Oryctolagus cuniculus: one gene and its partner. The protein of the gene in region 2 interacts with the protein of the main gene of each other region in a pairwise test. Links are inferred from orthologs where the notes say so. Each region holds a gene or a part of one and is shown on either strand. Other genes may lie near its edges.

Evidence for each region. The genes of interacting proteins can lie anywhere in the genome.
Region 1: the proteins of ARRB2 (region 2) and AGTR1 interact in a two-hybrid assay, tested with the Homo sapiens proteins (2 studies listed by BioGRID and IntAct, with this or other methods). The link is inferred for Oryctolagus cuniculus from reciprocal best matches to the Homo sapiens genes ARRB2 and AGTR1.

Annotation. Positions count from the first base shown.
Region 1 is NC_091435.1:132,774,669-132,778,913, reverse strand, and holds the start of AGTR1 (type-1 angiotensin II receptor), read left to right. Parts: upstream 1-1,445; 5' UTR 1,446-1,907; intron 1,908-4,245. UniProt on the Homo sapiens protein: Receptor for angiotensin II, a vasoconstricting peptide, which acts as a key regulator of blood pressure and sodium retention by the kidney.
Region 2 is NC_091448.1:51,498,804-51,501,634, reverse strand, and holds the end of ARRB2 (beta-arrestin-2), read left to right. Parts: intron 1-111; coding exon 112-249; intron 250-884; coding exon 885-968; intron 969-1,078; coding exon 1,079-1,158; intron 1,159-1,257; coding exon 1,258-1,312; intron 1,313-1,799; coding exon 1,800-1,893; 3' UTR 1,894-2,331; downstream 2,332-2,831. UniProt on the Homo sapiens protein: Functions in regulating agonist-mediated G-protein coupled receptor (GPCR) signaling by mediating both receptor desensitization and resensitization processes.

The DNA of each region.
Region 1 (4,245 bases), on a different chromosome or scaffold from region 2:
CAGGGTAAACTTGCTAATTTCTGCCATAAAAAAAAGCTTACTAGGATTTTAATAGAGACTGTATTTAATTGAAGATAATTCAAGGATTAAGGTCATTTTAACTATAATAAATATTCTAATCCAGGAGCACAAAATATTCCATTTATTTATGTCTAACTTACTTCATTTCAACAATTAGGGGGTTAAGAGTACAAGTTTTACACCTTTTTTATTAAATTTCCTTAAGTATTTCATTCCTTTGATTTATAGTAAATGGAATTATTTTCTGTACTTCATTTTTTTTTTATTGTCTATTGCTACAGAAATACAGTTGAGCCCCTGCCACCCACATGATTGACTCCAATGGAGCTCCAGGTTCCTGGCTTTGCTTGGCCCTGCCCTGGCCCTTGTGGACATTTGAGGAATTAACCAATGGATGGAAGGGCTGTTTCTCTCTCTGTCTCACCCTCTCTCTGTCACTCTGCCTTTCAAATAAGTAAATAAATCTTTTTTAAAAATGCAAGTGATTTTTGTATATTGATCTTGTATTATGAAGCTTACTAAACTCATTGATTAGCTCTAATAGCTTTTTACTTAACGTGTTAGGGTTTTCGAAATAGAAGATCATGTCATCTACAAATAGAAATGGTTTTACAGCCTTTCTAATCTGATGTCATTATTTATTTGCTTGTTTGTTTGTTTATTTTTTACCCTTGATCAATTGCCCTGACTGGAACCTCTAGTACAAAGTTGAATAGAAGTGGGAGACCGAGCCTGCTTGTCTTGTCCCTGATCTTAGACAGTAAGCTTCAACAGTAAGTATAATGCTAGGGAGCTTTTCATAGACTTTACTGTTTGAAGAAGTTGCTTTCTACTCCTAGTTTTTTGAGTGTATTTATCATGAAAGAATGTTGGATTTTTCAAATGCTTTTAATTTATTAAGATGACCCAGTGAGCTTTGTCTTTTATTCTGTTGACATGGTTAAATACATTAATTGATTTTTGGTAAACTACTCATGCTTTCCTAGGATAAATCTCACTTGATGGTCATGTATGAATTACAAGATTTGATTTGCTAGCATTTTGTTGAGAATTGCTATTTATATTCATAACAGCCTGCAGTTTGTTTGTAGCGTCTTCATCTGGTGTTGGTACAGGCGTAATACTGATCTCATAGCATCAACTGGCAAGTGTTCCTTGCTCTTCTTTCCTTTCTTTTTTCTGAATAGCTTATGAAGACTTGATATTAAGTCTTCCTTCAATATTTTGTCATCTTTTGTTTTATTACTTTATTTATCTTCAAAATGTAACTCAGCAGTTCCAGCAGAGGAAACGAATGCCCACGCTTTCATTTTACAACCCTGCGTGTTAACTGTGATCCTTAACTCACACGGATACTGTCAAAGCTGGAGCCACTCACAGGAAACAGAAGTTCCTAACTCGCCCTTAAAAGTTTTCCAAGTTATAGAGAGACAGAGAGAGAGGGAGAACATTAGGCTCTGGGAATCGATGCTTCGCAATCCCGGGTTGCCTCCCTCTTCGCTGCCCCTCTCCAGGCAGGGCTCCGGGCCAGGTGAGCGCGAGTCTGATAGGCGACGAGGGACAACTGTGGCATCATCCCGGCTGCCGCCAGTTTCTGGAGAGGGAGGGGTTGGGCCTGGAGGGTCTCCCGGGGCGGGGCGGAGGAGGCGGGAATGCAAAACAGAGCCTCCTCCCTGGAACACAGCAACGCCCCTGGCTATAAATTGGGAGTCGCGTAGCCGCCGGAGATTCCAGCGCCTGACAGCCAAGACCCCGGGCAGCGGTGAGTGGCAGCAACGCCGGGAAGGGTGCTAGCAGCGGAGCCCGACCCGCGGCCGAGATCCATGGGGAGCGGCTGCCGCCGAGGCGGGTCGTGAGGGCGCGCAGCCCGCTGGCGGCCGGACCTGGTGAGTCCGCGGGGCCGCTCGACGGGCTTGGGGACCGCGAGGGCGGGCGTCGTGAGTTTCGTGTGCCGGGGACCCAGCCTCCGCGGTCAGCGGCCACCCTGGAGCTGGCCGCCCTTCTCCAAAGCAGGTGATGGGCTTCTGGGATGGGAGGAAACAGCCCCAAAAATTTCACTCCGTTTTGCTCCAACTCCCTCGGGGCACAGGCGAGAAATGTGCAGACGTGGGATGCAGTCTAGCCAACTTTCCATGGCGGCTTTCTGTTAACTCGCGTCTTTTAACGTGATCTGAGTGGCAAGCCCCTATACCTCCGTGGGGTGTCCCTTTCCGGGCTGGGGGACGTCGTCCCCGCCCCCAGACCCCGGGAAATCATTTGGTCTGTCTGGCCCTGCCAAGGCAACTGCAGGTGGAACTCGAAACGCAATACATCTTAGAGCAGGCTACTTTTTAAGTTGATAATTTTGCATGGCCCTTGAATGATTTTATACTTATCTCAATGACCCGTGGCAAAAAAAGAAAATAATAATAATAAATAAAAGAGTTGTGCTACTTTTGAGATGAAGTGAAGAGTGTCCCCAGCCGCCTCATCTGCTTTGGGGGAACAGTCCCCGCATCACTCACGGCCCCTTCTTCCTCTCTCCCTGCACACCGGGGGAGTCCATGGCACAGGACACAGCTCCCGCCCGCCCTTGCGTATTACCATGGTGTCCTCTGTTACATCCAGCCCGGGAGGGGAAAAAAGCAAGGCGCCTCGCAGCCCAGTCCTTGTAGCCTGGGCCTGTGCACATTTGTAACGGAGGCAAGGTTTTGGGCAAAGGTCTTTTGCTTTCAAGACTGGCCAGAGCCCCGTGTTTGCCAGTTCTCTTAAATGTCTCCTGTATGGGCCTCCCCTGGTCTCCAGGAGAACTCAACAGATCTCCCCACAAATGCCTCTCCTGCCCAGTTTGTCCTGGGGCAATGGTTAGAGACAGTGGAGCGCGTGGAAGGCTCTTTCTTTGCCTACTGTCTGCTGATGGCCTCTTTCAGCATCACAGCCCCACTGCTGCCATTTCTTCCCAGTGAGAGTGAATGCTCACTCTCTTTTGGATCACATTTGGGGCTTGGCTGTGTTTATTTCCTGTGTCATTCTGGGAAGAGAAAGTTAACAGGGAGGCAAAGCTCACAGCCTCCTCTTGTGTTTGCTAACTTTTGTTGAGCAACTGTTGTCTCCCGAAGGTACTTCATGCCCAACATTTGTCACCACCTGAGCGTCGTGGGCCCCCAAATGTTTATTCCCCTTAGCATAAGCTTTCACACCTTGAGAATCAAGAAGGAAGGAGGGAAGGAAGGAAGGAAGGAAGGAAGGAAGGAAGGAAGGAAGGAAGGAAGGAAGGAAGGAAGGAAGGAAGGAAGGAAAGAAGGAAAACAAACCTGGTCAAGGCTCCTGTCTCTTTTCATGGTCCCCTAGCTTTATGTGTGGATAATCTCTCCTCGGGCTATGATGGTTTCCCAGCACCCTTCTCTTCTTCCCCACAACACCCTTCCTGACAGCAGTTCATGGGCACAGAAGCAATGGGAGAAGGGAATGGAGACTTCCATGTAACAAGCTGTGTGATATTAGAGGTGTTACTTAGCAACTCTAAACCTAAGATTTCTGCCCCCACAAGGTCCCCTCCAGGGATATTCTTGGATTCCTTTTGTTTCCTGGTTATATTTTTAAAAATAAAAGTCTAATATAATTATCCTGTTAGCTTATGCTTTAAGTCTTCAAAACGTTCAAACTATCCTGCTAAATGATCTGCCCAGGACAAACATGGAGCTTTCCCATGATGGCGTCAGGTGTCCACCCCCCAGATCATAGCTGATAGTTTCTGTAACCTGATTCAAGGCCCCCGGAGTAGCCCCAAGTTTAAAGGTCTCAACATCTGTTCAACTTTCATAATGATTAGTTCCAAGTCTCTTATGTCCTCTGTCTTCCCCATTTGTTCCTGAATTCATTGTTCTTTGTTCTCATCATGAGGCCTTAATTTCTGGTTCTGCTTTCTTTACTCTTAAACTGAATATCCATCTCAGGAAAAAAAAAAAAAAACTGCTTTTCTGCCACTGGTACCACTGATGTTGCTGGAAAACTAGTCTTTCCTGAGATTTACAAACATCTTTCAGTCCCTGTTGCTGCAGCAGCACTCCTGGGCTTAAATCTTTCCCCTCTCTCTTTTCCTAGGCAGTATTCCAAAAAAGTCCATTTTGTGGATTGCTCAGATTTTGTGTTTTTTGTTTTTCTTCCTTCTTGTTTGGTTTCAGAATTGTGGGGAGAGGGGTGTAATTTGGTTTGGTTTGGTTTTGCTACTGCTATTACTTTCTA
Region 2 (2,831 bases):
CCTGTGCCCAAAGGGAAGTGACCGGGAGATGCTGCCTGGGGCTAGGAGGTAGCGCTTTGCCCCAGCCTGGCCCTCCAAGAGTCTCCTCTCTGGCCCTCACCCCGCTCACAGCGACCAGGTGTCTCCCAGTTCCACGTTCTGTAAGGTGTACACCATCACCCCGCTGCTTAGTGACAACCGGGAGAAACGTGGCCTCGCCCTGGACGGGAAGCTCAAGCATGAGGACACCAACCTGGCCTCCAGCACCATGTGAGTGCAGGACGCGGGAGGGGCGCCCCCTGCAGGCCAGGACGGTGACCAGCCGGGTCTCTGCTGTTCTAGGCGGAGGCTTCCTGACAAGCATGAACAGCCAGGCAGAGGGAGATAGAAAGCGTGGAGGGGCAGGGTGTGATCATTTGGGCTAGGAAGGCCTCCTAACAGGTAACTTTTGAATAAAGACCAGAGGCAGCAGGGGAGGAAAAGTGCAGGCCCAGACTTGGAAGCAGAACTGGGCAGGTGTATCAGCCACTGCGAGGCACCCTGGCACCACTGGGCGGGGGCAGCCTGGAGTCCCCAGCATCACCACGGGCTGGAGCTCAGCCCCACTGGCGCCTTTGCACACACAGCAAGCTGGCGGGCCAGCAGGGTTCGAAGGAGCTGCAAGGAGAGGAGGAGGAGGAGGGGCTGATGGAGAGCGAGACTGTGCCGGGCTGTTAGGTCCGACGGACTCTGTCTCTGACAGAGAGAGCAAGCCACAGGAGGGCTCGCGCAGGTGGATGCTGGGTGTGGTCTGGCCTGTGGATGTTGCGAGTTTGTAGTCCTGCCCAGATCCTGGAGGCATCCTAAGGTGGGGCCAGGAGATGGGGCAACGGGCCGTGACCCAAGTCTCGGGTCCCCAATTGCAGTGTGAAGGAGGGTGCCAACAAGGAGGTGCTGGGGATCCTGGTGTCCTACAGGGTCAAGGTGAAGCTGGTGGTGTCTCGAGGCGGGTGAGTGGCGGGGGAGCCCTGGGAGGGGCAGGGACGGCGTGCTGTGGCTCTGTGGCATCGGCATCGCTGTCATCGTTTTCACTGTCATGGTCCCCCCCACCCCCTGGCAGGGATGTCTCTGTGGAGCTGCCTTTTGTCCTGATGCACCCCAAGCCCCCCGACCACATCACCCTGCCCAGACCCCAGTCAGGTGAGCACACCATGTACCCCAAGCCTCCAGAAGGAGGGCCAGTGGGGAAAATGGGTCCTGCCAGCACCCACTCACCTCCCCGTCTCCCCCTTGCCTCAGTGGTTCCCGAAACAGATGTCCCTGTGGATACCAACCTCATCGAATTTGATACCAAGTAAGAAACTCATCCCCACCCCCTTTCACACTGACCCCCTCTAGACAGCTAACCTAGGATGGCCATCTCCCACTGCAGAGAGTAGGATTGGAAGTGGAGCAGCCGGGACACAAACCAGTGCCCATTTAGGATGCCAACATCACAAGCGGCAGCTTTACTTGCTATGCTACCATGCTGGCCCCTAATATAGTATTTTATTAAAATCTCATTTATTTGGGACCGGCACTGTGACACAGCAGGTTAAGCTGTTGACAACAATGCCAGCAACCCAGATGAGCTCTGGTTCAAGTTTTTTTCATGTTTTGGCGGGAGGGAGTCTGAAGCATCATGCTAAGATGACTGAGCCTTGTGCGGCTGCCTCTCACTGCCCTCCTTGTCCCTTCCTGCGAACCCCGCTGGTCCCATGGGTCCCATGCCTGTTCTAAAACTGCCCTGTGCTGAGGGCAGTGTCGTGGCCTCACTCCGTGTCCCCCTCTCTCCCGCCAAGCTATGCCACTGATGACGACATCGTGTTTGAGGACTTTGCCAGGCTTCGGCTGAAAGGGATGAAGGATGATGACTACGATGACCAGTTCTGCTAGGAAGAAGGGCTGGACCAAGACCCCCACTGTCGCGGGGGCAGGGTGGCCCGGCCTCTCTTCCCTTCCCCTCCATCCAGCATTCCTCAACCATCCCCAACCCCCTCTCCCTATCCCCCCACCCAAGATACGCACTGGACCCATCTCCTGTTCAAAGTGGGCATTAATTTTTCACAGCTCTGCTTCCCCAGCCCTCCACGGGTAGCAGGCTGAGTTCATCCCTACATCTTTCAGAGGGAGGGCACTGAACAGAGAAGTGATAGGAGGGGAAGGGGGAGAAAGAACTCCCGCACTCGGCCTCACACCAACACGCCCCTCCCCTCCCGTCACTCTGCCTCCCGTGCCTCCAAAACAAGACCCTGGGGTGGGGGCAGGGGCTGGCGAGGCTGTCGCTTTGTTTCTTGAGCATAAAGAAGCAAATAAACCTTTTAATAGGCACAAGTGTACATGTGTGTGTTTCTGCCTTGGATAAAGCGCGTCTGGCATGCTCATCTGGGCGCTTCCTGCACCCCCAGGGCACCCGACGCACGGCCTCTCAGTAAGTATTTAGTGAATGACTGTGCTGAGCCTGTGTTCCAAGGTAAACAATGAGACTCGATCTGGTCCGTCCAAACGCAAGTGTATTGCTTGGTAAAGCCACAAAGTAAACTTAGTCATTTTACAGGGGAAATAATAAGTAACTGCCCTGCCGACCAGGGGCTGCGAGAGCTGGGCAGGGCAGCCGACAATGCATGACCGTGTTCGCTTCCACTCCATCTGCTCGCTGGGCCAGCCCATTCCTGGGGCTTACTGGGACCACATCTGCAGGTCTCACCCAGCCAGAGGCCACGTGACCCCGCCGTGGAGTCTGGGACTTCCATTCTAGTACAGAAGCCAAGGCTTCAGGCAGCCGAGAGTAAGGCTGCCCTGGGCCCAAGTCCCAGGGACAGCAGCTCCTGTGA